Linked DNA regions of Mytilus edulis. The protein of the gene in region 1 purifies or fractionates together with the protein of each later gene. This does not show direct contact. Links are inferred from orthologs where the notes say so. Each region holds a gene or a part of one and is shown on either strand. Other genes may lie near its edges.

Region 1 (17,152 bases):
TGCATATCACTTAATTTAATGGAAAAGGGGGAATAACTCTCATATGGAGTCTCCGTAAAGCTTCGGTCCAAATGAATATCCTAATCCTGATGATGTAACGAGCAATTAGGTAAAATAATTTTGTCGTAATCTTTTATGGTTGCGAAGGAGTAGTGGCCACAAGAAAAACAGTGTTTGGGGAGATAACTCTTACAACGTAAAGTATTTTGTTACGTGGTTGTAAATTTTTAAAGCGTATAAACTATACAATATCATATTTTAAATATCTAAGCGACATCTTATGAAACAACAAAACTACGCAAGAAAAAAATTTAGGCGGAAGAAGAAAAATAATAATTAAAAACCAATTGTTCAGAGAACAATTGAAGGTCTTTCCACTAGTAAAGATCTATTTTGATATGGAAATATGAAAAATCAGTTTAAAATGTTAGTTCCTATGGCTTTATGATGTATTAATATCAATTTAAAGCAAAGGTCAAAATCTAGAACGTCCTATTAACCTATGACCTTGACCTCAATTTCAAGGTAACAAACCAAGGATCTTAAATCAAAAGACCCTAGGTCTTTAATATGTTTGGTTAAAGAGTAATATCACTTTACGGGTAAACCTAAATATAAGATGGGCAAAAACTCCCATTTATTATTTGCGCACCCTTTCAACCAAAATATACAAGTAAGGACATGTCGCAAATAACAATTTATGAAAAATTATTTGTTGATATGTCATACGGTATTTGAAAATCAGTGAAAATAAGCAAAAATCAAAATTTAGAACATGACCTTGACCTTTGACCTTGACCTCATTTTCATTTTTTTGGACCAAGGACCTCAAATCTGAAGACCCTAGGTTTCTATCACTTATGGTTTACCAGTTAGAAATGCATATTACTTATATCATTTACATAAGGGGAAATAACTCTCATATGGAGTCTCTGGAAAGCTTCGGTCCAAATGAATTGCCTAATCCTGAAGATGTAACGAGCAATTTGGTAAAATAAATTTGTCGTAATCTTTTACGGTTGCGAAGGAGTAGTGGCCACAAGAAAAACAGTGTTTGGGGAGATAACTCTTACAACGCAAAGTATTTGGTTACGCAGTTGTCAGTTTTAAAAGCGCATACACTTTACGATATCATATTCCAAATATCTAAGCGACATCTTTTGAAACATCAATACTACGCAAGAAAAAAATTAGGCGGAAGAAAAAAAAAAAAAAAAAAAATAATAATAATCAGAACAAATTCAATAGGTCTTTCCACGGAAAGGTGGAAAGACCTAATAATCAGAACAAATTCAATAGGTCTTTCCACGGAAAAGTGGAAAGACCTAATAATCAGAACAAAATCAATAGGTCTTTCCACGGAAAAGTGGAAAGACCTAATAATCAGAACAAATTCAATAGGTCTTTCCACGGAAAGGTGGAAAGACCTAATTATTATATTTTCTCACTTTCAACACTCGTGTCCAGCAAATAACCTGTGCAGGGCCCCATTACCTTAACTGCTTTGCATATACGAAACTAACGAGGTTAAAGTAACAGTGTTACATCACTGTTCGGTAAATACTGCATATTAAAGGCAGTTCATTACACATTTATTGTATCAAATGATTATAAACTGTGTAGCATTGTTCAACAGTTTGTTTTAATCAAAGTGTAACAATATAATTTGTACATCCAGGTCATAGAAACAAATCTATTTTTAGAACAATTTTATTTTCATATCTCAGGTAAAGGAAAAGTCGGTACATAAATAAACTAAAACTAAATATGTTTATAAACTTTATTGAAAGAATAAACAATGAAATAAAATGCATGACACTAGACAAATAACTTTTATTGGAATAAATAATCATTCAATATGTTGTAAGTGGATTATGGACGTTCATCTTTCTTCAGGATTTCCTTTACTGATTTGCACTATCGATGTTATTTGACGCCGTATTTTGGCATTTCAGATATAAGCATACTCCGCTTTATTGCATAATTTCGTCTGACAAATAGGCTATGCAAATAACCGGAATGTACTCTATTAACATATTTATATACTCCATTCAACTCATTGTTATAATTTGACAAAATATATTGTGTAAACTGGTTACCTTTGAATACTTTTCAGTTTGACACTTCCAAGACCTTTTAAGACATCTGTCAATGTGGCCTGTTTGGGGGGATTTTCAGGAGTACTATTTCTGTTGTCTTGTAATGTCTGTAGCACTATTGTCTGAAATTAGGAAAAAAAATATGTTCATGGGACACAGATCCACTTGAAAATATATGGTAAATTCATCAATTTTTCCATTTACAAAGGGACGTAACTCAAGAATCCTAATAATGACGTCACCTAAACTTTAAATATGATGTGTGTTAGGTAGTAGTAAGCATGGTTATAAACATAAAAGTAGAGAACAGAAATCAATTTAAAGACCCTTGTATTTATGTACAGACAGACAAAAGTAAACCTTAATGTGCTCTATGTCTGCAAAGGAGAAATTAATAAACATAACTTTTTATTTCTATCTTTTCCTTTTAGGGCCCCTAAAAGGAAAATATAAATTAGGGGGGAGCTATGCTTTATAGAAATATAGATTCCTACACTGCAACAAGTGTATTACAATATTTCTCCACTCGAGACAGTTAAATTATATTATTTAAAGCGTGAGGCTTGCCAAGCTCTTTAATTAACTAAAATTTAACTGCTGAGAGTGAAGAAATATCGTAATACACGAGTTATAGTGTAGGAATCTGTTTCTCTAATGATTTTTATCCTTTTTTTTCAAAGATTTTCAGAAACTTGTGGTCTTTATATGCGACGTCATCAGGCATGGTTGCCTTTTTTCATGACGTCACAATAGGAAAATTCAGAAGAAAACAAAACATTTAGACGTCATAATCAAATTTCGACTAATCATTTGCAGAGAACAGATTTTTCACTAGTGAGGAGAAATATTTTTCTCACACCAGTCAGGAAATGTGAAAATAGCACAAAAATTAGAGAATATAATTTCTTAAACTATATCACACCTTTTCCTGATAACTGCTCAGTTTCCCTTGTTCAAAGAAAATATGTTAACAGCATGGAGCTTTTTTCCTAGACATTATAATTTTATCAGTGGTGTAGACCGTAGTATTTTACCTGTTTATCTGTTTTAGTCTGAGTAACAATTGGTGTTGACTGTTTTGTTGCTGGGAGTGGTGGTGGTGGCGGAGGGGCTATCGGGCAAAGTGGTGGCACTGGTACATAATCCTCTGTTGATAACTTTTCTTCTTGGAAAGACTGTGGAGGTACTGTAAATAATATAACATAAATAATTTTATTTCAGAATTATACATAGATAAGGCCAAAAATAAAATATTGTTTGTTTCCCCTCACCTGACCGACCCGGTAAAATCACCACGACCCGAAAAATTTTATTGGTAATTCTTGTCCACTATTTTTGTTGTTGCTATGTTGGTTATTAGTGATATCTTTCAGATGCTGTAGTCAATGAGCGTTGGGTTTTGGTGATACCTTTCCGATGCTGTAGTCAACGAGCGTTTTAAATCAAGGTATTTTTGCATTGAAGGGTCTACATGATTCGGAATCAAGGAAAACAAACAAAATGCTTTGCCACACGATTTGTTTGTGCAAGGGTGATCTTTTTTTGAAAATAAAAAAAACTGAAGCATCTTTCAACCCGCTGAGTGCATCTTGATTAGATTTGTGTCTAACCTCTGTTCCTGTTTAAAGGATAAAATCTTAAAGACTTTGAGTAAAAACGGTCTGACTCGTGCTTTAAAATCTATCTACTTTGTCTTTGAACAGGTTGGGCACAAGTCAGGAAATGTGGGATACATGTATTCCCTGCTTTCAGGGAACGTCCCTGTTTTCTGGTGTAAAAAAAACCCAGTATGAATGGGATTTCCTTTTTCAATTTATGGCATGAAAATTACAAAAGGGCACATTTTAACGTTATAACTGAATCAGTAGAATTCATAAATACTTTATTAAAAGTATTTTAGGAAATACAAAACATGAAATACTTTATTAAAAGTATTTTAGGAAATACAAAACATGAATATAAAGTGAAGCCTTGTTTCTTCTAGAACTAAAAAAAACCTACAAATCTTTGTTTAGGAATCAATTGACCAAGCTGCATGATCCAGGTGTAACTGAACATAACTGAATTATGTTCACTTCTATTGAAAATTTTTATTCATTGAATTTTAATTCCCAAGTGATTAACATACATGTATCTTTTTGTCATCTCATAATTGATGATCAAGGTATGAATTGGTGAACAAAGGATTTGTTTTGTTGTGAGTTATGCATCAAATTAGACTTGAAATAAGCTTGTTTTTTTAACTAAAAAAAACACTTGCTATCATTAAGCACTGTTATCACAAGTAGAATGTGCACTTTTGTAGATTTCATTACATTAAAAGAATAGGAAAAAAGGAGGTCCCTGTATACTGTTTTTTTAACACCAGAAAACTGGTGTACACTGAATTAGAATACAGGGAATACCCCACTTTTCTTGACTTGAGCCTTACCTGTTGAATTTTGTACAAATTCAATATAGAAAACCATATCAAGGAATAAAATAAAATAATTTGCCTACCTACCTACCCATATCCTAACAACCTCAGTCGGGAGAGGGGAAACAAAGATAATTTTAATGTTGGCCTAATCTTTTGTCTCTCTTATTATAAATAATGTGATTTAAAAAAGTAGAAAGAAACAGACACATATGCTTTGGTTTGAAGGAACAAATCACTGTGGCATCATTTATGATACATGATTAAATTAAGAAAACTGTATCCTCTACTGAGAGAAGTGGTTTTCATAAAATATTTACTCTGGGATTTATTGATCTGTTCTTGAGCTTCCACCAGCATGGCTATCTGTAGTCGTAAGTTATTGAGCTCTTCTTCCATGACTGATAACTTCTGTGTCTGTTCAGGATCTTGTCGTGTAGACACTGATGATATCATGGTAGAACTCATAGGGGATAAGCTGGGTCGAGATATAAACAAATCAGCATCTAACTCATCAAGAGCTGCATCATTTTCAAAGTGCTTCCTTTTCTGTGCTCTGGAAATAAAAGGAATATATCAATACAATGAAAGTTTAACAATTTAAATCTTAACTCACCATTTACTAATATTAAAGATCACTCAAAATCATAGAATATATTTGTCATATTAGTATATCATTTGACATTGGAAACAGTTTCATGTATCTAAAAACCAGGTCTAAAAGAAATATCTAAAAAAATCTATATTTTTCGATCTATCTTAAGATAAACATAAACATATTTAATACAAACCAACTTCGAGGTATGGGAGCTTTTCATTTAATCAAGATCCTTTCACTGTTGAGCAGGTTAACATGGCTATTCTTTTTTAATTTGTGAGGTTTACACAATGCAACCCTCTAACCTTATTGCAGGAAACCACATCATTCTATCACATCTAGTTCCACAGCATTGTATTTGATGCTGCTTTATGACCATTTTTTAAAATTTGAGCTCATATATTTAATTTTCATACAATTACAAGAGAGACAATGATAAAAGAACTCAGTATTTTTACAAAGTATAAGTAAGCTTAAAGCTGGCATATATGTGTCCCATATTTTTTTCTAATATGATAATATCAGCTGTTGATCTTTTTTTAACAACATCTACAAAATTGATGCATAACAATATCCCATGCTCATCATTTGTGTCTTTCTATGTCAAATATATCCTCCATTCAACTTAATCATATTGTAAGTAACTGTAGTTAACCGGTTACCCTTGACTTACAATAACCTACCTAATCCTGACACAGTTGTCACCTAACTCTTCCTCCACCCAGACAACATCATCATCTGTAGATGTTCCCAGACTTGTGGTTGATATAACAGAATCATCACTATCACTGTCATACATGTATTTAGGATATCTAGACTGTAACAAGTGATTCTGAAAAGAAAGTTGTATAGCCACTTTAAAAATCATAGCATTTTTACCTAGAATAGAAAATGTTGTCCTTCCAGTAGAGAGAAACAAGAAAGTTCATGATGATTTTTGCATACAACATTTAGGTTTAAAGTGGCTTATTTCCCAATTAAAAGTGACTGCATATGAGTATATAAACACACAAACAAAAAGATTCAATTTTATATAGTTGTTGTAACAGCATTGACTGAGCATATTGATGCCCTTCATATGTAAATGAGCTTCAGTCAACATTTATATCCCAATAAACTCCAAAAAGGTAATTTCAATTGTTAAAAAAGTAATTCTTTTGGCCTGTAGATATGAATTTTTCAGACCAAACAGCATTTTTACAAGCCTGGGCTGAAAGGACTGAGGTTGATCATGAGTGTGAAGACTGTAGTGTCAGGACAACCATGTTTAAAACCTATCACAGGGATCTCCATGGATGAAAATTGAACGATGGAGGAACTTTCACCATTACAAACCGTGTCTACGTTGTACAGTGTAGTGCGATCGGAAGTATTTTATTACACCATACAAGGAATGGTGTACATGCTAATTCATTGCTTATTTAAATTATATTTATTTGAATTTTCATTATAGAATTAGAAGTATCAATATTTTCATTTATTGCCGTTTTTAACCATTCAAATGCCAAGTCTTCATGGTCCCCCCTTAGTCGAGAATGACCAAAAGCTGTCATGAAGGTCCCCATGTAGATTTCTTGTATATTTGGTTATTGTTATGGGGGTTAAAAATCATATGATGTGGAGCTAATTTTTCATGGACACTGTCAAATTCAGAACCCATTACCGGTATGGCTGATTTGCAGCAACAACAAAACAATTCGTATGGGTTATGTAAAAGGTTAAAGAGATTTGTAAAGCAAACGTTGACAAATGAAAAGGTTTTTAATGACTTTATCTGGCAAATTGATGCTGTGCAACATATATCTTTCGAGTCTGAATAGAAACCGGAAACGCGGATGTATCAATTTGATTGTAATATACGAAATGAATTCGGAATTAAGATACGATATTTCTTTACAGGAAATATTTAAAGTTTTTACTTTTAAACTTTTAAAGTAATTCTAAATTATCGTTACAGCAGTACTCGAGTTATTTGCGATGAAATAATATTTACTGTTTTGCGTCTTATTTTGTACTTCTTAAAAAAGGGGGATGCTGATTGCGTAAGTCAAAACAAAGCACATGTTCGACTTGTTAAACTGTTTTCTTTGTAACTGGATTATTAATTTATTTATTTAATCTAAATTATCATAATCATTTGCTAAAACTTAGTTGATTATTTCGACAAATGAATCGTCTATCCTCAGATAGTATTCTCGTGTCTGGTTTGTTGATCTACCTGTACAAGCTCAGGTACAAGTGATTAGCGATCTTAATCCGTATATTCCTCAGGCGTTAGAACTGTATTGGATTTTAACATAAAAAGCCTAAGGGTTATGCAATTACATGCATTTGATTATACTTGATAAAAAAAAAATGGCGTCGGGCTACAAAAAAAGATGAAGTTTTGAACGATGGCGGAAGACATTTAACGATGGCGCAAGACATTTTAACGATGGCGCGAGTCATTTGACGATGGCGCATGACATTTGAACGATGGCGGGGCGCCATCGTTAAACAGGCCATGGAGATCCCTGTATCAAACATATTTTCTAAGTTATTTCTTACCTGTATTCTAACCCTTTTAACAGGTTTCATTGATACATATGATCCTATGATTCTTATCAAACTTTTGTGTCGTACATCTGATTGTATTTTATTTACTCTGTTGATTGTACGCTGACGAAAGGAAACAACATGATTCCAATTGTAGGTGATAGCTTGACGAGTTTGATAAAACCTCACTCTTCTCCTAGCATTTAATTCTTCTAATAAAGCTCTCTGTAACATAAAACATGTACCAAAAGTTGGAATATTTTAACTTTAACTTACAATTTTTGTATCATTTTTACATGTTCAAAAATAATATAGTGAAATATGGAAAACTAAGTATTACTTTTGCATGTCATGGCAGTTTATATAATTTTTCTGTAAAGATTTAACACATTTATTTGTTTTCTCACAAACATACAAGATTGTTGATACATGTACAACTACAATTCGATACAACCAATCTATTTTAGTAGTGTTTGAGTGTCTGCCTAAGTGTCAGTTTTATACAACTTTTAGAATGTTTTGCTGAGTTGACTAAAAAGGAGTCTCTCAACATTCCCCATGATCTTTCAAATTTACTTATGTTATTTGAAAATTTATTGACCATGACACCATGACATCATTGCATCATCAATGTATAGATCTCTTTAGTCAATGATTTCATGTAAACAAACACATACATGTATAACTGTATAATTAATGCATATATATATATTACAAGCACATTATTTGGTACAATATACACCTGTGCATCATTTATCAAATGAAATACATGTAATGAAATAATTACCACATCTTCTGGATCAATTCCAATGTAATCTAAAATAACTCTCACAACTACCACTAAATCATCAATGATGTCCATACTTTACACTGTAAAGATTATATTGTTTAAATCTGCATGCCTCGAATTACTGTCATACTGAAATAAAAGACAAAAAGTCAATTTCATAACAAAAGTCAGAACATAGACTCCTTTCACAAAAAAAGGATCATAAGTGATACTGAAATGTGTATGACTTGTGAGTTCTTTCACAAAAAAAGGATCATAAGCGATACTGAAATGTGTATGACTTGTGAGTACTTTTACACTTAACATTTTTTTATGAAAAGAGCCGCTGTATCATTGGTATTACAAATGTGCTATGATCAACATAAAATTTTAAATCAGTTTTTTATAAATGTTTTATAAGAATAATTTGTATGATTTGAGGATTTCAACAGTTTAAAATTAAACGTATAAAATGAGTTTATTGGACTATCTGAATTTTGATAGTTAAAATGTTTCAAATTTTCACCATCGAACCTTTGTTTTCTTTCTTGTGGAATATATTTGACTAATGTTCCCATTTTGATTCACTTTATGATTATTCAAATCTAATAAAATGAATTTTATTAGTTTTTTGTGTTTTTTTTAACAAGGAATTACTTGGGTTAAATTTTTATACTTCACAGAAAGAAAAAAAATAGCGTTTCATAACAAGATCTCATAATTACATGTATTTGGACTAATTATGAAAGACTGTCCCTGATATGGCAAAAAAATAATAATATGTGAATTTCCTAATACATCTTTGAAAGAAATAGGGTAGGTAGGTACAGATTTTTTTTGTTTTATCTTTTTTCAACATTGAGTCTATGGGAGGAATATTCAGACTTTAACAGTGCTTAAATTGAAAAATGACAATGAAAATGTTAAGGGTAGGCTATTTTATAGCTTAAAAAATAGGAAGAGTAGGATATAAATACAACTTATCACTATTTGTCCACTATTACTGCACATCAGAAAGGTTCTCGTAAATTTGACATTATATAAATCTTATGAAGCCACAATGGAAAGTGATTGTTGTATGACATCAATAGTGCAAGCATGACAGATTCTCTGGTCACCCAGGAATAGCGGCACAATAAAATACCTTATCGCTATATGTGCCATTACTGGACATCACAAAGGTTCCAATAAAATTTTCAAGTCATAATACAAAATATCTGACACCACAGGATGAAAAGATTCTCAGGACAGCTGCATGACTGCCATAAGGCTGAGTGTCAGAGCTGGGACAGAATTCAGAAATGGCGGCAAACCTCAGTAAAGGTGTATCATGTATAGTGTTCCTACTATATAAACAATTAAAGTATTGGTTGGTATACATAGAAGGACTATGGTAAACGGACAGAAAGTCACAAATAATATGTTGACAATTGTTTGAATATATAAGAGAAATATCTTGAAACATTTACTTTTTAATACATATATTCATATTAAAGTTTAGGAAATGTGTCATTATACTTGAAAAATTAAGATTTATTTAATTCAATCATGCAAAAGAAAGATTTCTTGGCACCATGAAGCCATTTAAGTGCCAAACCACTTTGACATTTTGTTTTTTTAACAATTATTTGATTTACTTTGATATTTTTTTGATAAATTTTGTTTACAAAGTTAGATTTTATACAATAGTTCAAGAGAAATACAAAAATATTTTTTTGGAAATAAGTGTTTTATATTCAAAGAAAATAGTCAGAAAAAATGAATTGTGACTTTTTGTCCTGTGACTTTCTGTCCTACATTCTACATAGAATTGGCTTATGACTTGTTATATGCATCTTTATTTCATTTATATGTTGTTTAATATTATAATTGTCTGTATAATTTTGGATCACGCCTCTATTGTGCTCTTTCCAATAAAATATTGAATTGAATTAAAAAGATGACCACAACAGTTAAAAAGAGTATGTGCCAACTGGCAGTATTGCTGAAATGACTGTGGTCGAACTGGCAGTATTACTGGAATGACTGTGGTCGAACTGGCAGTATTGCCGAAATGACTTTGGTCGAACTGGCAGTATGGACGAAATAACTGAGGACCATGGGACGAAACATCTTGCATGGAAGTCTCTGTCTATCCCATGCTAAAGGCATGGGCTAGACAGAGACTAGAAGTAGAGGAACATTTACTATATTTTGCGTGTACATCGTTTATGTAAAATGTGATGAATATTACGTACAGCAGATTAAAACCAGGGTAATTTCAGTAAAAATGTAGGTTATTGTGTCGCCGCCATTCATTCGAAATTCACTTCCTGTCAAACGTTTGTCCAATCGAAATTGATTTTACATTCATTCGCCAATCAGATTACAGCTATTAAACGTGGGAATTTCAACATTAAAAAAAGATACACAAAAAGGACAGTGCAAGAATATTTTGAAAAATGCAAGAAAATCGAAGATGTATGTGTCAATTGGTCAATTTTAAACCACATTTTTATGCATAGAATTTCACTGTGAAATTGGTCTATATTTATACACATGTGACGTGTTATATTCTGCTATGTGAAGCAATCCTGTCACAAAGTGATGTCAGCTTCATCAGCAGAAATTATCCCTCAAGTGAAGAAGGAACTAATCAATGATTACTGGGTTATCTAGAACTCTAGACACTCCCAAAAAGCTAATACGTATGTTCCTCTACACAAGAGCTTGGGGGTTCTAGCAATTGATCCTCCGTGCTTTCTCATTGAAATAAAAATAAAAACTTATTTTACAACAAGTTTCCGAACGAAGAAAGCAAAACTGCTTTGAAAAGTTTCCAATCTTTAATTAAACAGATTTTAAATTAATCCGAGCACAGGGGCTTGTTTAGTGGGTCAGACGAGGTTTTACTGTCAATGGCGATCGCTATCCTATATAAAAAACCAGGATAGTGATCGACATTGACAGTAAAACCTCGTCTGACCCACTAAACAAGCCCCTGTGGTCTGAGCGGGTCAAATCTTAATGGGTGTTCACAACATGCGTTTGTCTCATTAAACAATTACCACAACTTTATACGGCAGTTACGTTTTTATGCAAACAATGTGTAAAAATACAATACTTTATTATCAATACACAATAAATATACAACAAGTTTATTCACACAGGAATACACGAATAAATAATAACAAATAAACAATCAATGTTAATGTGTTTGAATTGCCGATAGCGCTCTATTTAACAAGGGTAACTACGATCTATAAATAGGGCAAAGTATATATTTTTTAGAACTTGATGCAGAGATCAGTAAAAAAGTGTGTAAAATGTATGCTGTTTATCTTTTATAGATACAAGTGAAATTTTAAAACTATCAATCTTCTTATTCTTCAACGTGTACATGAAACAGCTTCTCTCTTCAAAACTAGATAAACAATTGCTGAGCAGAAGTTGACATCAACAATGGGAAAAGAAAGTACAGGAAATAATATAACGTAACGTCGTGTAAATTGTACGTTCACAACATACATTTAGGTCAACAGTTATATTGGTAATATATAACACGAATACAAAATGTGTATAATGAACAATCCAGATCATAATAAACAAACAAACAATTTTAAGTGTTGTAAAACTATTGACACAAACAGTGAAATTTACAAACATCATTTTCTCCTAGAACTATCATGTCAGACTATTATTGAATTGAACCAACTAGAAGAACACACAAGTTGTTGCTAAATGCCAAGACTAGCAAGAGGCCTTTAAGATCGGCCCTCAAAATTAAGTAAGCAGCATGTGATCTCATTTCTGTTGTTTATATACCAAAGATTTTGTGAACTACAACGATTATTCAGACAGGTTGTGATATAAAGATTATCCAATAATTTTCACTGTGACTAACAGAAGTCCAGTTTAAATACCAGACAAATAGCAATAATGTGTTTTGCTTGTTAGTTTACATTTTTTTAGCTCTATATGACTAGGGACCCCATAAGTAAAAATAGGCCAGAATTTGTATTGGGTTATACTTGTTCAGATGAAAATGAGGTAATACAAGCTAGGCAACAGTAATCCTCTATATACAGCCACATTATCAAATCTTAACACAGGAATTTGTTCCTGTTAAAAATTGTATGTTTTCTTGCAATAAGAAACGTTTGAATTTAATTCTCTTTCAATAAAAGAAACTTTAATATTTTAGACAAAGTCTTCCTCTTTGTAAGTTACAACAAATTTGAAATTGATTGATGTGTATGAAATTGACAGATTTTTTTTATATTTGTAGATAAATCCTTGTCTGCAGATGCATTGACTTCCCTGAAGACTATGGCAAGTGATTCCAAAAAGAGAAGTTTCATAGTAAAGGTGAGGCTTGAATTTCATTTTTTTTCATTGCCTGTCAATGTCATTTGTGTCAAAAAATGAATATTAAAAGATAAATTTGCCTAATGCATGTAGTTTAGTTAAGACAATAAATCAATTGCTATTTCTTGTAACATAATAATATTTTGTATCCTTTATTTAATAATCATGCTTTAGGTTGTTATTTATTTTTCAGGATGGAACATTTTTAGGAGGACTTGTTGTTGTATTATCTAATCCAGATGTAAAAATTGTCACAACAGCTCTAGAGGTACATGTATATATATGTATTAACATATACATGTATCAAGTTCAATTAAAAGGAGATTTGTTTAAGATCAAGGCAACTAAGTGCAGACATCACATAGTGAAATAAGAATTTGGCTGCATATATATAGGGACAGTGGCATGCCACCCGTCTAACTACATGTTTGTAGTGATTGGCAACTGCTTTTCATGGCAATTTAAATCATACACACGGAAACATTTTGTTTAATCCACTATGGCATTCAGTGCCTCCCACTTAAAAATCCACTGTGTTAGTCCTGGTTATAAGAGTTAGATTAGATATTGTGGTTGTGGAAATGTGTAACACTTTATGATACAAATAGTTGTATTTTTTAACTACATAGTTTTTTCACTAATGAAAAGATACATTTAATGTTCTAAAAACAAGAGGAAAGAAATGAATTTGGAAAATGCTTGCTCTTGATCGTGCGTTGAATGCTTTTATCTGTTATTATAACTTATTTATTAATTTCATATACTTGGTATTAATTATTGGATACTTTTTTTCTTGTATTTTGTGGGACTAATTTTCTGTAGGATTGTATGCACACTTTGACAGAACCATGAACTTAAATATCAATGGATTTTCATTTTTTTTCTCAATTCTCCTAAATGGGTGTCTATAAAAATAACTGAATCCACAGTATTACATATAAAACATTATGATTATTCCATAACAATGATTTTCATTGTACTATCTACTTGTTATTGCAGACATTAATCCTTCTGGCTGAAGTGCCAGAATACAGACCAACACTATCTTCATTTATTGGTTTGAATGAACAAGTAGAGATCCTACTAAACAGGTTAGTTATGAAGGTTAACACGTGGATCACTGTTTACATATTACTCAGAAGAAATTATTCTGAGTATTCTTTATTTATTACAGGACACTCATATATTTTTCAATGTTTCTAGGCACATTTGAAATTTATTGTTCAGTAATGTTCAGGAGAAGGTGTCAGACTGGATCCAATTGAATTTAAAAATAGATTATGTTGATTCATGTTATTTTTGTGTCCCATTTATGGGCATTATGTTTTTTGGTCTGTGCGTCCATCCTTTTGTCCGTCTGTTTGTCCGTCCATCCTGCTTCAGGTTAAAGTTTTTGGTTGATGAAGTTGAAGTCCAATCAACTTGAAATTTAGTAAACATGTTCCCATGATCATTCTAATTTCAATGCCAAATTAGAGATTTTATCCCATTTTCGCTGTCCACTGAACATAGAAAATGATAGTGCGGATGGGGCTTCCATGTTCTTGGGACACATTCTTGTTAAGATATAAATCTCAGGTTTCAAGGAAGTTCTGTTGTTTTCAGGATTTGGGAAATTCAAGGTAATTATTATGCCTTGACTTATGATAAATCAAAGGAATTGTCCATCTATATCATTTATAGCTCTTATGTATAACTAATCCATTGAATTTCAAATTTATATGCAATCTTAAATTTTTATAATAAATGTTTGTACTTAAAACACTTTTGTTATATCCTCATCAATTATTTTGTAGAGAAGATGAAAACATTGCTAACCTGGCTGAAAAATTGTCTGATTTATTAACACAAAAACCAGAGAAACATGCACCATTAAAAGATTCATTTAATACATCAGGAACAAGGTCAAGGTAAGAATATAAGTCTTCTATCATGGACGGTTCATTATACATTATACACTACGACGGTAGTTGATATATAGCTCTAAGTCAATTTTTAAGGTTTTTTTTAAGGTGAGTTTACATGTCTATCAAACATGGTTTGACTGACCATGAACTTATTTCATGGATCTGTAATGAAGGTTAATATTTTTTGTGAGGTCCATATCTCAGATACTATTAGCAAATGGTAAACACAATTTGGTGTATGGAATGATTTTAAGGTGAAAATATCCATTTAGTGAGGTTCGACTAATACTTTCACTGACCTCATTTTTATGGTTCATTGGTCAAAGGTTATTTTTCGTTGTTAGGTCCTTTTCTCAGATACAATAAGCAAAACTAGGGGTCGAAATTAGCGCTGGTCCGGTGGTCCGAGACCAGTAGAATTTGCGTCGGACCAGTAGATTTTGTCACGTTGTGGTCCAACGGACCAGTAGAAATTTGTCGATAAAATTTTGGTTTCTTTACAAAACAATTTACCTGCAAAATCAATTACTTGGTACTGGGGGGTACTAAGTATTGCAATTGATCAATTTCATTACTATTTCGGATGAGCGTCCTTCACAACAACAAAAATGTGGAAATTTTTGGAAAAAGATAAATCGCTGGACAAAAAAATACAATAAGTGACATTTGAAGGGAAGATCTGAATTAAGTTCATGAAATTGACAAAAGGAAACGTAAATATAAAAAATCCTTGGAAAAAGATCGTGATTGGTTAAATTATATAGTTGATCACAATGTAATCAATTGCATATCATGTGAAACACTTGTAGTGACAGACTTAGATTAGAAATGTGTTTTTGTACCGAGATCTTCAAATTTTAAGTTAGATTCTGTACTTTCTAATGAACAATCAGAACAGCACTATAAAATACGAGAATAAAGATGAGGAAACAAAGAAAGGGAAAATCATGAAAATAAACGTAAACATCTCCTATTTATTAGTGTTTGTCAAATGAATTTCATTTGTGCAGGACCAGTAGATTTGGAGCCGCACCAGTAGATTTTTCAGTCCACTGGTCCGGCTGGCTAGTACACAAAAAAGCTTAAATTCGACCCCTGAGCAAAACGTCACTAAAAAATGTATATTTGGCAAATGTAATGCTTGTAAGGTTTACCTGTTTATCTTGCTAATTTCATCTGACCTTGTCCTCATTTTTATGGTTCATTATATAATAAGTCCACATATATTCTATGATATCAAAAATTATTGAACTGTCAGTCATGAACAAACCTGTAAGAACTAATATGTCAACATTAATGTATATATATATGTAGGACTCAAATCTATGGTGGGTTCCAAATCTATGGCAGATTCCTAATCTATGGCAAATGTGACGTCATGCCATCCCAAATCTATGGCAGATTTTTTATAATCCTAATCTATGGCAAGTTTTGTAATTTCCTAATCTATGGCGGATTTATGTTCACGGTTTCCAAATCTATTGCAAATGATGAGCAAATGGAAAATAATGCAGTACCTATACGACCAATGATTTGTCTAAAATAAGTGGTCATGTACGACATCGGAAGCATGCATGTCTTTAAACATTTGTGAAATAAACATTCAATAATGGTCAACCAAAAAAAACCAGACTTCAAGATTGAAATGATGTGCCCCGTAAAAATCTTTGCATGGTACCTGTTTAACCCATTCATTAAAGCAACTAGTCTAGTAAGTCCCTTAAGAAGGTATTTTTTTTTATAAAACAGAAATGACCAGTTTCAATTTTCAAGTAATATTTATTTCTTCGTTAATGCATCTTTTTTTATTATTGAATGACGATTTAAATCAAATTGATATCCGTTTTTCTATAACTCCTTTCTCTAATAACTCGATGAAAAAATCGGTCCCGTTGCTTATCGCGGGCTTTGGCCGGTACAGCACATTTCGTCCGCCTTCCGAATATTAGTAATAGGTCACATCTTCCTTGAGACTATCAAATTGTTGTCAAGGGAAATGCCTATATCTGGAATGGTGTTCAAATCTATGGGTTCCGCCAACGTTTGCGGGGGCGACGATGTAATATGGCGTTATTTAATTGTGACGCAATTCAAAGATCTGCCATAGATTTGAGGAAAACAAAAATCTACCATAGATTTGAGTTGTTTTGCATTTGTAACGTCACATTTGCCATAGATTAGGAATCTGCCATAGATTTGGAACCCGCCCTAGATTTGAGTCCTACATATATATATATATTATTTTTTTTCAGGCATGGAACAAGTAAGAACAAAAGTGTAAATGGTGGCAGAACAAAGCATATAATCTTACAGATACGAGGTCTTGTAGTCAAGGTAAATAGGGGTAAAAACTTGTTCAAGTGGTCAAGTTTAAATGGTGTTATATACCTTTATAAATTTAAGGAGTTTAGAGGTATACGTCAATGAGACAGCAACCAAATGATAATTATAACCCAAAAGGACATCTAGGTATTAGAAAAA
Region 2 (16,745 bases), on another chromosome or scaffold:
ATAAAACTTGGAAAGAACTTTATCTTATATTATCTTATTTATGCATTTTCAAGGCCTTTTTGTTTTATTGATCATAAAGTAATGGTCTTTCACAATCCAACAATATTAACCAAATAACTGATAAACTCTTTAAATGCCTTTTTGGTTAAGTTTAATAGTTTAAATATATATATATAGTGGCTTTTTATTGCATTTATCTAAATGTCTCCTATGATAGAACAAAGATACAGTACACGGCTCGCGCTAGAGCTATAAAATTGCTTTTTTGTCTGCCACTTCACTTTGCCTGACCGTCAACACCCATTTCAAGTCGCCCTGTTGTTCACAATACTAGCTTTCAGTAGCGTTCTTTGTTCTCAAATTAACCAAGTCGATGAAACAGCCATTTTTAATTTAAAAGCAAAGACATTCAGAGACGTAAACAGTTTACTTTCTTCAGTAAAGAGTTTAAAGCATTGACAGTTGGTTGCATATTATTTCATATCATAGAGACAATTTTTTATCACTTTGTTTTACCTTATTTCTTTTTCTAATGTTATCCATTGTGGTGCATATCCATTGTTGATCAGTATCTTATTTATATTATGAGTTGTGGTGTCGACCAAGGGATTTCTCTCAGTATAGTCCAGTGGCTTCCCTTTACCTGGCAGATTGTCAAACTCTCCTTTACTCATCGACTCTTGTATCAAGTCTTGTACTATTCTCTCTATAGTGTTACTTAAAAAAATATAAGCAGTTGAAAATAAACTTTAATTTAAATTTAAATGAAATGAGTGACTGGTGAAAAATAATGTTTATCCAATTCTTGAACCTATGCATGTATATATCATAAACTTAAGTCTTCTGTGCACAATTTTATCATTTTTTACGCAAAGATATTGTTTAATCGTCAATTTTTTCTCTCTGTCTGTTATGATTAAACAAATATGGTAGCTCATTAATTGCCGTGTTTAGAAGCCGAAGTTTACCAATTGTCACCTTATAGTAATCAATCAACAAAAAATCATGGATATTGAGCACAATAATTGTATAACATATACAATCAGATATTATTATAGTTTATTTTAATGTCAGATCCATGCATATTATTGCGATCACCAGATTTTTACAAGAAGAGTCATGCTAAGGTCACTGCATATACCGAAAATATGCCGGCGAATTGCTTTCTGGAAGCAAGCAATTAAAATAAAGTAAACTTCTTCCAAATGTGGACAAATTAAAGAATTTTCTTCAGAAAAAAGTAAATGTACATAAGTTTTATAATGAAAACTATCCATTTAGTTATAAAAATCATATGCATCATTTTTTTTTAATTTGAGGTTTCATATGACTTTAACTGTATCCAAATATAATATGTTTGTTTTGTTCAACTTGGGAAGCTAAAGTTTAGTCCACAACCAGTAGCTACATTGTAAGAAAAACTTACTTAATATTCAAATATTCTTGCAAATAAATTTTCACACATAAACTTTTCACACATAAAATTTTCTCCATTGATGTTGATCCAAAACTGAACACTCTGAATGTTGAGTTGATTCTAGAAATATGCTCAACAGACTTAAACTAACTACTGTTTGCTTAAATTCTTGTTTATTTTAGTACAACTTGGGATGCTAATGTAAATGTATGTGTTGGGAAAGGACACACTCTCTGTATTAGAATAACTGTAATATTTAGAATCATTCGGAATCTGAAGTGTAAATGAAGTAAATAATTTTTGTAAATATTTTGCACAAAAAGGTTTCCTCTGACATCATTTTGATTCTAAGACTATAAATAACTTGAACATATATGTAAATCATTTATAAACAATAAAAAATTAAAAATGTCAAAATTCAAAAAAAGTATAGAATTAGATATGAATAAAGTTGATTGTATTTAAGCTTTATGAACAAATCTCTAGGGTAACTCTATTAGGATATTTATTCTATAATGCCATTTATCTATAACATCTTTTTAATGATTTAAAAAAGAATGGCAGCCATGTAGTTTAGAGGAATAATAAACAACTGAAGAAGGCCAATGGCCGAAACGTCTTGAACAATTGGTTTATTTATACAATTATAAAAGATATGTTCCCTATTGGAATTTTGAAAACAAGGTATTCTATAATGTATGACTATAAAGTTTAAAAACAAAGGATTTAAAAACAGAAAATAAAATAAAAAATTTAAGCACAGTACATTTTTCACAGATTGCTTAAAGTTATTATGTTTTCAAAAAAAAGCATTAATTATTCTATAATATAGCCTTAATCTATAAAATTCAGATATTTTTCAATAAACAGAACCCATAGAGGGGATTTTTACTATAAAACTAAACAGGTTTAACCCTAAGCTTTGAATAGGCCATTATCATACTGGTTATGTATAATATTGCTAGTTACTTTTACTGCTGACCTTATTTTACTTTTCTTGGCTTGCTTCTTATTAACTGCTAATGCTGATGTTTCTGTTTGCAAGACATTTTTACTCATTCTGAACTCTGTCACAACTTCTGAAGCTCTTTGTACTTTATATTTGTCATATTGGGTCTGTCTCTGGGTAGGGTTACCAAATCCTATACCCTGGAATAAATATATGAATTATAATGTCAATACTTGTACTTTATGTTTTTTATATTGGATCTGTCTTTGGCTAGGGTTACTAAATCCTATACCCTGCAATAAATATACAAATTAAAATGTCAATACTTATATTTCGATATGGTTTTAATATTGGTTTTACTATACATCCATAAATAAGTATATATACCACGCTATTTACGAGTTAACATATTTAAACAACAAATCTGCAGTTTGTTTAAATATGTTAATGAGTAAGGCGTGGTGTATATGTTTTGTAACATCATTTAAAAGTGGCCTGGTGATTTTTTATTTAATAAAAAAACAGTGGGAGTGTCATTTTAGCCCGCTGCTTAGCTCGCGCACTAGAAAATCGATCCAGTGGGGAATATGACACATCAGACATGACAAAAAGTTATTTTTCTAAATTGAGCAACTCTGGCTACTCTAAATCAGGCACATACCATTTGATTTTTTTGGGGCCTGGGAATATTTAGAACAAAATATTCCGGCTCTTTTTTGTCATAAATTATGTTAACTCGTAATGTTTAAAAAAAAAAAAAGATTTTCCCCAACAAAACTGTATTGCAACAAAATCTTATTGCATTTATGAAATGCATTGGCAAAAATATTCCGGCTCAGGTATAAACATATCATTGACATATAATAAGTGGTTCCATGTACACTAAACTAGCTACACCTAAACTACAAATATGCAAACAAGAATGTGTCCATAGTACACAGATGCCCCACTCGCACTATCATTTTCTATGTTCAGTGGACCATGAAATTGGGGTCAAAACTCTAATTTAGCATTAAAATTAGAAAGATCATATCATAGTGAAAATGTGAACTAAGTTTCAAGTTCATTGGACTTTAATTTCATCAAAAACTACCTTGACCAAAATTTTTAACCTTGAGCGGGACAGAGGATGGATGGACAGACAGACTGACGGACTAATGAACAGACGAACAGATGCATAGACCAGAAAACATCATGCCCCTCTATTATCGTAGGTACATGTGTAGGTGGGGCATAAGAAAAATCAAAATGTCACTGAACCATCACTGAGAACGGGACCATGAAATCTTGCAAATGAGATGTGTTTATGCTTATACAATGTATAAAAGCATACAGTTACCAAAAAATAATTACCTACCATTTAATACTAATAGAGGTTTTAAACTCAGACCTAATCATATTTTTTTTACATGTAAATTATGCAAAATTGTCATGACTGAGGAGCCAAGTCGAATACATTGTAATCTCCATGGAAATTGAATGTATCAATCTCAGTGTGTGTGTGTGTACATACCTCATTACCAAGGTATTGTCTATGCTGAGGTAGTGTGTGTGGAAAGTCAAATATACCCTCTTCCTGCTCTTCAACCATGTCAACTGGCATCTGTAGATCAGCTCTCATATTTGCCTGCAGAAAAAAAATAGTTATTTATTAACTTACAATGATCAGAAAATGTGTTGCCACTATGCCACACTTAAAATATATGAAATTTACTGTGTCAAATATTGGATGGTGCTTTTACATTTTATAGCTACAAATGTAGTCTATTATTATTTCTCAATTAAAAAAAAATCAATTTTAACATTTAATTTTCTTCCTTTCTTATGATTTCTTTATGCCATATAGTAATGTAACCAAAGACACAAATATTTTTTAGGTTTACAATTGAAAAAAGTTTGCAAACATATAACCTATGCTCTAAAAATGCATTAGAGAAACAGATTCCATTACTGCCCATTGATCTTGTTTAATATATCATCATGCATTTCACACACATTGAATTCTGGATATTTTTTTATAGGATCTCAATCTCAATTGATGAAACCACTGATCATACCCTTATGGCTTTATAAGCATCCTGAATCTGTGAGAACTTGCGAGGACATGCTGTTGATGTCCCACTGTCTGGATGATACTGTTTAGCCAGTCGTAGATAGGCCTCTCGTAACTCCTCCTCCGTACAGTCAGGTGACAGGTTAAATAATGAATAACAGTCTTTGACATTGTTTTTTAGCTTATAACCAATCTGACAATTAATACTACTGGTGGAAATGAAGTGTTGTCCACAGACAAATACCTTTCTTTTCAAGCATAAAACTGAAGAAAAATTCTGATGCAATTTGTTTTTTCCTCTCAAATTTGCTTCTTTCTGTCCTGAACCTGACATGGAGAAGTAGGATAAAATGACATGTGATCCTCTGCTATTAACCCTAGATACATTTATCATTTTGTTTAAGGTAAATTTATCACAACAACTTAAAGACCTTGCTACCAGAGCAGTTGAAATAAGCCTGTTACAACAAAATGTAAATGTAGACATCACATTGACTGAAGTCCGTCTTTTACTACAGCGACAAGATCGTTGATATGTGCTGATGTTTGAGCGGGATAATGTATTTTTCTGTGGTAATAAATGAACATGTTGATGTAATATGTGTATCCTGTTTTGTAACATTTCCTAGGTGACTGTATCAGTGAATATCATGACTGTTCTCCTCAAAACAACAAGACCTGTGATGATGACTGTTGTTCTCAAATCATCTTTAGTGTTTACTTCTCTGTTTCTGTAAAATAATCATGATAATTATCATATTGTTTATTTTATTTACCCAGAAATAACCTAGAACAAATATGGTTAACATGGTTAAGTGTCTGTTTTTCTTTTAACATATTTTATTCAAATTCAGTATAATTTTATTCTTTTAATGTGCATTTACGTTTAATTCTTTTTTTCTATAACTATTGAATGCATTTAATACAAAATATTATTTATTATTTGCATTCTATAACCAATATTTTTTGTGTATCTTTCACGTTTCATTCCCGATCATGTGACAGTTTCTTATAAAATCAGTTGCGTGTATGAATAGCCTCCGAAAGCCAAATTGGATACGCATCCACTCATGTGGGTACATGCATCCACTGTCTTAAGTAAACTGTTGAGCTAGCCGGGTATAATTTCATGAGACAAATTATTAGTCCAAATAATTATGACATCTTCAAATGGTTTTTTTTTTTTTTTTAGCTTTGATCAGGTCTTACTGTATTGACTGTAGTACCAATAATTATGACATCTTGCAAGGCTAATGGCAATTTTTTTCTGAAAAACGATTCACAATAAAATGTTTGTAAAATGTTGCATGTGGCCAGTTTAAGATACCTAAACACACAAATTTCTATAGCAAGGATTTTGTGGAAGCAAGTTAACTCGTACCAACGGAAACTCGTACCATGTTAACTCGTACCAAAAAAGTTAACTCGTACCAACTTAAAGTCGTACCACTGGGAAGTCGTACCATTAAAAAAAATGTTTTGTGGTGTTTTTTCTTTCTAAAATTAATTAAAAAAAGTTGAATTACTGTAATTTTATACTGGATTTTAATGAAAACTTGGACAAAAATACGTTTTTTTTTTATTAAGATACTAATATAAATGGTCTTAATTACCTTATTACCCTGCTAATTAATATACGATATTCATTTGATGTAATAAATATGAAAAATATTGAATACGTAGATTCAGTAAAATTGATAATGAGAAACAAGAACATGATTGCAAATACATATAAAGATATTCTTATTCCAACTAAAGGGGCCATGAAGAGCAAAGTAATTTTTTACAATGATTTTATAATTGTTACAATAATGTTGACATATATATTATCAACGTCTTCAATAAACAATATCTATACTATATTGATAGTTTTCTTAGTTCTCAATATATATTATTTATTGATATATCATTATTCATAACATCTCATTTTATTTCAGACAGCCTACTACCAGAAGGACACTGTGTACAAGTTTGTCAAGAATCTCATGGCCCTATCATTTCTACCGGCAGAACACATCCCTACTACCTTTGAGGACATTGCCACCAAAGCAAAATCTGCCAGAACAAAAGAGCTTGACGCCTACGTAAAGAACACTTGGCTGTCATCAACCGTCTGGCTCGTACCATCATGGAGTATCTACATGAGATCTCGTGCAAAATATTATATATAAAAAAATTCATACTTTTAACATGTTGGTCATAAACAATTTACAACCTTTAAAACACACTAAATTAATTCTTTCAGTGAATAAAATTCCTTCGAGAAACAAAAGAAAAGTAGACAAATCTATTCAATGTAACTGATTTGGAATGATTAAAAATTAAATCCAATGGTTATCAGTATAAGTTTAAAAAAGAATGATTCAAGGGAGACAACAAATCAAATCTGCCAAGGTATTGTCTATATCTAATACACATGGAACATTAGCTACAGACTAGTCATTTTACTTTCAAATTATAAACATTTTACAGACTTAAGAGGTTTTGAGAAAAATAACAGTATACATCGGTCTCACTAATTAGCGACAACAAGAATTTTAGCGACAACAAGCGTCAACAAGCGACAAGAAGCGACAACAAGAATTATTTAAGCGACAAACAGCGACAAGAAACTATTTAGCTGTTATTTAGCGACAAGAAAACATTTTTTTTAATTAAAATTAATTATTGCAATAAATATTAAAAGAATATGCAAAAGAAAATAATTTTAGCGACAAGAAAGTTAAAATTGATAGAAAAAAATGAAACATTATTTACATAATATTTTATCATCTATTATGAATAACAGCCAGTATTACGTTTAATTATTGTATTATGAGATTACTTTTCCTTGTGTTTTAGAACATATTATTTATCTTATAATTTGTATTTTAAAACTCTTTTCGTGCAATATGTATTAAGCTCGCAAAATGAATTACTTGTGCATCATTGTCCTGAAAATATTGACACAAATTGTGAAATACAAAGAACTGAAACCAAACAGGAGGAAAAGAAAATTGAAATGTGAATGTTTTCATCTTTTTATTTGTTTATTGCCTCATTAAACGATATTTATCATGTTTATGCATATTGATTGAAGATGAAAGGAAATTAATGACAATCTTGAGTTTTCAACAGGTGTTCACTATTTACAATGATTGTATAGTCTGGCGCGTGTAATTGTATAGTCTGACGTGTGTACAAAGTTGAAGGTGTTAATTGGATGTTATTGTAGCAATAAAACAGGGGACACGCCACTCGTTAATCTCATTTGATGTTCCACATTGTGTGTACTGTTATTACCTTAAGGTGAAGCCACATCTAATGTTGTTCCTATCAAGAACAATGAATTATACTGTTAGAAAGGAAATAATATTTCATGTTTTTGTTTCAATAAATCCTTCAAAGGAAAGTTGACCTTTTTTTTGGGGGGTTTTTTCCGCAAAAGTACGTGATCTGTATATGGACCCCAAGGTAGAACCACGTCCTCGTCGTGGGCTCTGAAAACACGCTTAAATAATAAAGATGGCAAAGCGTGGCTGAGAGTTTTACAAATAAAGCATCGAATTGACATAACAAGAGTACACTTAGAGCATAGTATTAAGCAAATGAATCAAAATATTATATTCCATTATGCCCGCTCCATATGTATCTCCATTCGTTTATTCATACTTTGACTTTGATGAAAACAGATTCATACATTATCTTATACATATTCTTCATATTTAAAAATTAAAAAAAAGAAGCTCAATCTCTTTCTTTTTCACAAATGTTAAATTTCTTCATCTACCAATATACTAATATAAACTTCACAATCTCTTTCTTTCTCACAAATGTTTCATTTCTTCGTCTATCTGTAACAATGGAGACATTGAAGATGAACTTCACTTTCTTTTAAAATGTTCCTCCTATAAATATGTGAGAGATAACCTTATTAAAAAATTAAATAATGTTCTATTGAACAACAAATTTTCTTCCTTATCATATAACTTGCTTATATCAATTCTAAATAGTAATTCCCAAACAATATTAAAAATTGTTGTCAACTATTTGAATGAATGCTTGTTGCATGGATTAAAAGGTACTTGATTTTTGTAATCATGTATATGCTTCTCATTTATTTTTTATATATTTCTCTCATAATTATCCACTGTCACTCCTTCATTGTATATATGTTATTGTAGTTAGTCTTTAATTTGTTGCCATAACCATTTATTGTCAATGTGTTAGTGCTAATAAAGTTATCTTATCTTATCTATATAATAAAACATTTTAATTAGACATATCTGCTCGTATATTTAAAAAAAAAACATTACATACAAATTTCTTTATATCTAATAAAAAAAAAATGTTTTCTTGTCGCTAAATAGTTTTCTTGTCGCTTGTTGTCGCTAAAATAAATTTTGTTGTCGCTTCTTGTCGCTTGTTGACGCTTGTTGTCGCTTGTTGACGCTTGTTGTCGCTAATTAGTGAGACCCGCTTACATTCATAATTAAACACCAATCAAATGCATTTAAATAAGTTGGTACGAGTTAGCAGTGGTACGAGTTTACATTGGAACGAGTTATATTTTAGTGGTACGAGTTAACGTTGGTACGAGTTTACATTGGTACGGGTTAACTATAATTCGATTTTTGTTTATCCTTGTGCATATAACAGCTGTTTTCTAATCCTGCTTTTTTAGTTTTTGCTTAATAAAATCATAAATTATTTAGACATAAATAAATATACATCAGCAATATATCATATATCAACTACGTCACATTAATCAGCCTAATCTTCTTTGTTTTTCTTGAAATGTGTATGCTCGATGCTCCTCAGCATAGCCGTAAACTTTACCATTACATAAAAACAACATGACCCCAATCATGACCTATACATACTGGTATTGTAGGACGTAAACCAGTTTGACTATCGGCCTGGTATCAAACAGCATATTTATGCCTTTGCTCTCTATTGTATTTTTGTAGGGTACCAGATTGAAGAATGGCAGCGTTCATGGAAGAAGATGGTCTTGCATCTGAAGATTTATATGCTGTTTTAAACGTCGAGCGAAAGGTATTAATATAGCAATTTTATCATTTAAGAACTGTTTATGACAAATTATTTTGATTTCAAATTTAAAGCCACATATTTGACTAAACTGACCCTTTTGACATTGAATTACATCATGCACATTTTTCATTTATTTTTGTATGTAATTTCTGCATCTGGATAAGTCTGTCAAGTTTTAATGTCAAGAAATACGTATAAACTCATAAAACTTGCAACTATACATGGGATTAATAAAACGGCTTTCTATTCACCTTATTGCTTTTCCCAGCTGACATGAGAATCTGTCCGGCTTGAACTTTAGTCTATACACCTTATCGCTATCCCGTCTGACCCGGCCGCTTGAACTTTTGACGTCTTACAACAATCACTTTTCAACTGTGGCGTCAGATATTTTGTTATACGACGGTAAACAAAAATAATATGGCAGAGAATACGTTTCAACCAGGAACAGGTGTAGCTCCTGCTACCTTAGTCGAGTTGTCGATTTCTTGTCGGTATCAGTCATAAATGAGAGTCAACATCTTCCTAGGTTTATAGCTTTAATAATAAGGATGACTGATACCTGAAATGAATGTATACAGTATATTAGTAAATGATTAGTTAGGAACCAGTATGATATCCAGTAATTGCAGACAAATATAGATAAGGTGTACAACAATCACTTTTCCATTGTGGCGTCAGATATCTTGTATTATCACGTCAAAACTTTACGGGAACCTGTGTGATTTCTAGGATAAGAGACAAATAGAGATAAGGTGTATTCTAATGTCTGCATACACCTTATTGCTGTTTGGAAATCTGACTATCTGTCCAAGTTGAACTCTAAATATGTTCGGCTTGAGCTACATGTATTGACGTCATACAAAATCAATTTTCCATTGTGACGTCAGATATTTTAGTTTTGCAAGTTTTATGACTCTGAACTTTCTGTGTAAGACACAGATGTGAAGCCCACCCCTCCAGAAAACCGAGTTTCAGCCGATTTCAATTTTCCAAGACCGTATTTGTGCTCAAAATGCAACTTATACATCATTTGTACATGAGAAACATGAATATGGATAGCCTCAGGTTGACAGAACATGCATAGATTTTAACATAAGTATCAGGCCACCCTTAAAAAATTGTTTGTTTGGCATTGCCGACCCACATGTACACTATCAGCAGGTGGGTAGGTAGGTAGGGATTTTTTTTTTTTTTACATTTAAAAGCTTTATACATGTAAATCATGAAGTCTCTAGACCAATGTTGTCTAAAGCATTGCAGCATTGTTGTGTGTACATGCTGGTGGTTTCTTTGAACGGGGTCAACCGTCAATGTCACATTCTACATCATATGGATAATTTCATGTAAGACAGTCAGTTTTGTTGGCAGAGTTAACCAAAGGACCCAGAAAAAAACACAGAACTGAGGCAGGAAACTGACAAATTAACCATATAAAATGTACAATGTATGACGTGAAAATTGAACTTTTATTGTGGGACTGCCAATTGAACAGAGGCCTGATGTCACATCTTGTGGTCACAGTTTGGTAAAATTACCATAAGTTAAATGGCTCAACCACTACGGCTCCTTGTACAAATGGACAAAGATTTAAAACTTTTATTGTTTGCTTTGGTTTTATAAACATCACTTTCTACACCGTATGTAATTTCATGGCAGTCAGTTTTGTTGGCATACTATTAAACCGTAGTACTTGAAGGAAAACGGCGGCAACCTGCGGGAAGAAACTGACTAACCTTATCACATATGACATGAAAATCAAACCTTAATTTTGCAACTGCCCAACTAGGGCTCAAACCAATACCTAGAGGCTAGTAATCATACATGAAAGGTGTGACGAACTACCATACAAACACGCCTACTGCCCCTGATAAGTTTTGAGGATATAGGATCTGTACCAAATAAGGATAGCAAAATATTAAAAATTTGGAAGGTTGGCACAAATAGACATGGTGTTTATACTAATATTATCCATTAGTGCAAGGTTTTTCAGGGCTATAGGTTTAAAATGTATGATAAATTCAAAATGGAAATATGCAGCAGGACAGACAATTTTTGCAGATAAATAAATTATGGGTTGTAATGCTTGTTTGATTAACAGAAATCTGGACATGCATTACATGAATACAGATAAATTAATGAGCCCTTAGAATTGTGGAAAAGGAAGGGATTTTATTCATCACTAGTACACTAGATACATTTATAAATATGTTTCTGTCAGTATCTTTTATGTTTTAAGAATTATTTTATTCATGTTAAGAAGAAAGGCAAGAAAAGGGGGAAGTACTTCAATTGACACAAGATGCTAGTCTTTAAAATATGTATGTTTTGTACCAGGCTAGCATCTACTGGTACAAAACTACTATAAACCTGTAAATCTGGGACCGTTTTGGTCTATGGGCTTTAGTGCTTACAGCCATAATTATCTTGAATGCATCATTGTGGTTCTGACTATAGTAGATACTTTGTTCTCTGGTTCAAGGGAAAATTTGTCAATGATACATTTCAAATATTTAATAAGTTCAACAAATGTAAGAGCCACGCATATTTGTTCTGTGATGTCCCGGAGAAAAACTTCTATCTCATGAAGCGACAAAGTCGAGCAGAAATCATCTGTTTCTGCTTTTAGCCTTTACAAAAGATAAAACTTGAGTCCTCTACAAAGTCTCTCAGAACGTTTCTTTCAAAGAATAGCTGAACATTTGATTTTTGATAAAATCCATCTCCCTTAACCAATGCATTGATGCTTTCCCCTGCCGGCCTCTTTGACATTACTTTTGGCAAACTTTTTCTATTCCATGTCATTTAAATGTTTGCTCCCAATAAGGCAAGCGCTTTTAAGATCGTGATTTGAAAAAAGTAAAGCCAGGAACAAACTCGGCGGATACAATCAAATTCCGGCACAATTTCGATTTTTTTTTAAATAAAAAAAAATAAATTTCTGAAACGCAAATAAAATTATTTGGGCGGCAAGTTTTTCAGTGGGTCGGGCGGCAATGCCAAACAAATGAAATTTTATTTTAGGCCTCATAAAGTGGACTTCTAAAAGAATGGAACGCCATTGGAGCCAAATAACGTTGTTTTGGGTATGCCTGCCATATGACAGTCACGGCATGGTAAGGGTTAAGTTAACCATGTTAACCAGAAGTTTGTTTATATTTCAGGCTAGCACAGATGAAATCAATACAGCGTTTCGTAGATACAGTAAAATCTTCCACCCAGACAAACATTTAGATGATAAAAAAAAGAAGCATGCAGAAAACATGTTCAATAAAATCAAGAAAGCTCATGAAGGTAAACGATAAAATAAAGATGAATTTTCAAAAGCTCATTTATATATGCATCATGTACATGTAGCATTGTATGGAGATGAGTGACTCAAAGCAGGAAAAATACATTCAAAATTGGGTATTACCTAAAGAGACAAATTAAGAATTTTACAAACAATTTCACTGTACTTTACACCCTCCCATAATTGGAGTTTCCAAGTTCACTCCCTGGGTTCCATGACGTATATTTAATATTTTTTGGTATTCAGACCATATATCTCAACATGTCATGTATGTGCTCTAAGGTTAATTTCTCAAACATGTCTTAATTATTTCACTTATATTCAAATGGAAATCTCTTTTATTTGCATGTAGATGACATGACAACTTGCATTGATGAGAATATATGCACTGTATACCTAATTATTATTATGAGATGTAACAGATTTATAAGTGACAAAGATTGCTTGGGCATTTGTTAGGTAATAGCGTCAATGTCATGTAAATTGTCATAAAATTGCTCTTACCATATTGGAATCTCTGAACAGCAAACAGAATTAAATCTGAATCAACAAAAACAAACTAGACATGCTAGATAAGTTGTAGAATGTCTAAAATTAAAATAAACTAGTATGTGCCTGTAAATGAAGAAAAAAGTTGGGAGTTAAGAAAACTATTTTAATTATTAGAAGTTTTGGAACTAGTTGATGAGAACATTATTATATTATATTTTAGTTTTAACTGACCCAAACAAAAGACCAGTGTATGACCAATTTGGAATGAAAGGTTTAGAAATAGAAGGCATGGAGGTATGTATGTTTGTATCAAGGGTCCGGAAACGGTCATATTTGACAGTCTTGACCTTTACTGAAAGTGTTTGTCCTAAACGTGGAATTGGGATTTAGGACATATTTTATTTTTTAACAGAAATAATTTCGGTCATTTCGTTGTGATCGAGTTTCTAAATCGCCATTTTGAACTTTAGTTTTGTTATCCCTTTCCTGTAATAAAACTGCCACTCAAGTATAGAGTGATAATCATGAGGGCCCTCCTAATAACTATATTGATGCCTTTGGGAAGTATTGGCTAATGATCTCTAATCTCTTTACCTGTGTTTTTAATTCACACTTGCCGCTTGGCTATTGCGGGGGCTATTGATCACAAGCTCAGAACTTTTAATTATAAAGAAATTAAAATTCCATAACAACTGTCTTCATTATTTAATTACTTTTCAGCTAAGACAATTGTCAATTCTGATTTAAAATTAAATTAAAACTTGATTTTATATAAGTAGAAAAGTATTTTGTCGCTATAACTAACACAAGTGCTTTGTTTACTATGTAATACGCATACATGTCAAAATCCTCTTCCGCCGATTAGACACTATATCGTAAATTCAAAATTATTTCATGCTAAATAAAGCAAGTGCAACTATTATCATTCAAATTCAAACACTATCAAAGTTAAAAATTAAAATTGACTTCCTGTGAATTTGATAAACAAGACTAAACCCGGAATTGCTCGTTTCAGAATTTTGCAAAACATCCGGTTTGCAATTTTGTCTTCAGTAACGTAAGCTTTATGCGATGCAAGCAACAGTAACACAAGTTCGTTGAGGCTACGAGTATGAACATACTCAGTAATGTAATTTTGACAATATTTTTTTGAAAAAGGGCACCAACTTTTAAGTTATCTCAAAATGACCGAAATTAGGTGAAAAAATTTCCGGATCCTTGGTTTGTATATTAGATGACCTTTACGGCTTATTCAATTTCCAAGGATGTCATAACAGTCATGCTATTTCATTTGCAACAATTAATTTATAAACAAATGCGAAAACAGATGTTTTATATGATTTTGATTGAAAAGATAGCAGCTAGCAAGCACTCTTTCCATCAGCATTCTGCCCTATTAACAAGGGGAGGTAAATTGGAATTATGAGAAGGAAAAATTTCTAAAAACTATTCATATCAACACTTAGAAAAGTCCTCATTTTCTTTGTTCACAAAATTAAGCAAAGTATTTGAAGTCATATATATGTACATCAAAATATTTACAAGTCCACTCTATTACTGCATATAAAAGCAACACTTCTAATAGATGATTTTCATATAAACGACTTGACTCTAGAGTATACATTTTTTTGACAGTATTGCAACCAAATAATAATAGATTTTAAATATTTGACTTGTTTTCAGTTAATATCAAAATCAAAGTCAGCAGCTGAAATAATTGCAGAGTTAGCAAAACAAGAGGAGGAAAGAAAGTTACAACAGATGACTAATCCAAGGGTAAGATTAACAAAGCAATGACCTTTGACATTATCATGATTAGCTTGATTAATATATATTTACACAGAAATATAAGGTGATCAGTGAAAGTCATGCTTTTTGATATAGATGAAATTTTGACATATATGGATGAACTTTTTAATAGTATTGTTGGTTTTTTGGGGTTTTTTTTATTAGCTGTCTCATTATTGTTTTGTTTCAAATGTCAACGTCACAAATTATAAGTTATGATAAGTTCATTATATAATATATACATATTGGGGACAGGTAGTGGTAGGTCAATAAGATTAATACAGTTGTAAAGCATTGACACATCTTATTTCCATAGAAATCATTTGGTTCCTCCAACCCCCTCAGTCATGGCATAGCTTGAATACATACATGTATAAGTTTGTGGTAAGGTCAGTTTAAGGGGAACCATTAGTGGAAGCCCATAATATTTGGTATGTAATTGTTTTGAAATTTGTACTTCTAATTTCCATGAAGATAATTTGGCTCCTACACCTCAGTCATGGTATATTGACTTTTTTAATGTTTTGCATAGTTCACATGCTTAAGTTTGTAATAAGATCAGTTTAAAATGAAAAACTAATATTAGTTTTAAGATAATTTGTATGCAATTGTATAACCATTTGAAAGTCTCATGGAGTTTATATTGCCCACCCCTCATCATAATTATTTTGTAAAACTGTTTTATCATTTGTAAGATCCAGCCATCTAAATAATTTGTTTTTATTTTTGTTTTTTGCAGGGTCAAGTAGTAATAGAACTCAATGCCTCTGATTTATTTTATAATGAAGAATATAAAGAATACAGGTAAACCACAATTATTGAGTACAATGCAAATTTTCAAAAAATATCATGACATAAGGACCACAAGTTAGTGGCACAAGATTGAAGAGCTATATTTATTCTGGTAGGTCTGAATGAATTGAAGATTTGACCTGGATCAAATTATGCTGCATAAGATTTTAAAATTAAACCAAGTCCAAGAACCTTTTAAAACAAAAATGATAATCAAGTAAAAAAAGTTAAAATACGTATACGGTTTCACTGTCTTTCATAGCTAAGATCATGATTCAAAATGCATTTGTTCTTTCATGGAAATGCCGATTTCCAAAATCAAGTTGCCGTTAGAAATGTATGTTATTGATTCTAAAACACTTCACGAGTGTTTAAATATGACTAAATCACAAAAAGTAACATCGGAAAAGTCATATTTTTCATAACCAGAATTGAATAGGTACTTGTAAATCAAAAACAAATACGGTGCGATCCACGTCAAAATTTCTTACTTTATATTTTTCAAAAATATATGACTTTGGAAGTAAATATTGCCGTTCCTTATCAAATTAATGAGCAGATATTCATTGAAATACTGTTTAAAGGACCTTTAGCTGAAACAAAGCACATGTATCAGTCTGTAAAACAAAATCCTGAACAAAAAACCGACTGCGTTTTGTAGTTTATAATTGTTGTGCTGGTTCCCGGCAGTGTACTAAACTACATACGTAGTAAAAATACAAACGAATACCAGTTGATAATATTCCGTTTTTGAAAAGAAATCTGAAATTTTTCATGGGACATCACATTTTGTCAGTAAATTTAAGAACATCAAAATTAAAAGTGCATTTCAATATGGATAAGGTAAATGATGAGAGATGAAAAGATGAAAAGATGAAATGGCGCCATCTACAATTTTCAATAACAAAGATGGCGGACAATAAACAAT

The links.
Region 2: the proteins of armadillo repeat-containing protein 1-like (region 1) and dnaJ homolog subfamily C member 11-like purify together in Homo sapiens (affinity purification with mass spectrometry; 4 studies listed by BioGRID and IntAct, counting the BioPlex papers as one, with this or other methods). This does not show direct contact. The link is inferred for Mytilus edulis from reciprocal best matches to the Homo sapiens genes ARMC1 and DNAJC11.

What each region holds. Positions count from the first base shown.
Region 1 is NC_092344.1:110,183,257-110,200,408, reverse strand, and holds the start of armadillo repeat-containing protein 1-like, read left to right. Parts: upstream 1-10,742; 5' UTR 10,743-10,858; coding exon 10,859-10,877; intron 10,878-12,684; coding exon 12,685-12,764; intron 12,765-12,957; coding exon 12,958-13,032; intron 13,033-13,763; coding exon 13,764-13,855; intron 13,856-14,560; coding exon 14,561-14,674; intron 14,675-16,923; coding exon 16,924-17,005; intron 17,006-17,152. Other genes in the region: mitochondrial fission regulator 2-like, read right to left, coding at 2,100-2,221, 3,134-3,285, 4,836-5,071, 5,797-5,945, 7,661-7,873, 8,436-8,510.
Region 2 is NC_092356.1:64,896,833-64,913,577, forward strand, and holds the start of dnaJ homolog subfamily C member 11-like, read left to right. Parts: upstream 1-9,341; 5' UTR 9,342-9,384; coding exon 9,385-9,456; intron 9,457-12,617; coding exon 12,618-12,747; intron 12,748-13,457; coding exon 13,458-13,531; intron 13,532-14,920; coding exon 14,921-15,013; intron 15,014-15,764; coding exon 15,765-15,829; intron 15,830-16,745. Other genes in the region: dnaJ homolog subfamily C member 28-like, read right to left, coding at 517-717, 2,400-2,566, 3,880-3,993, 4,424-5,041.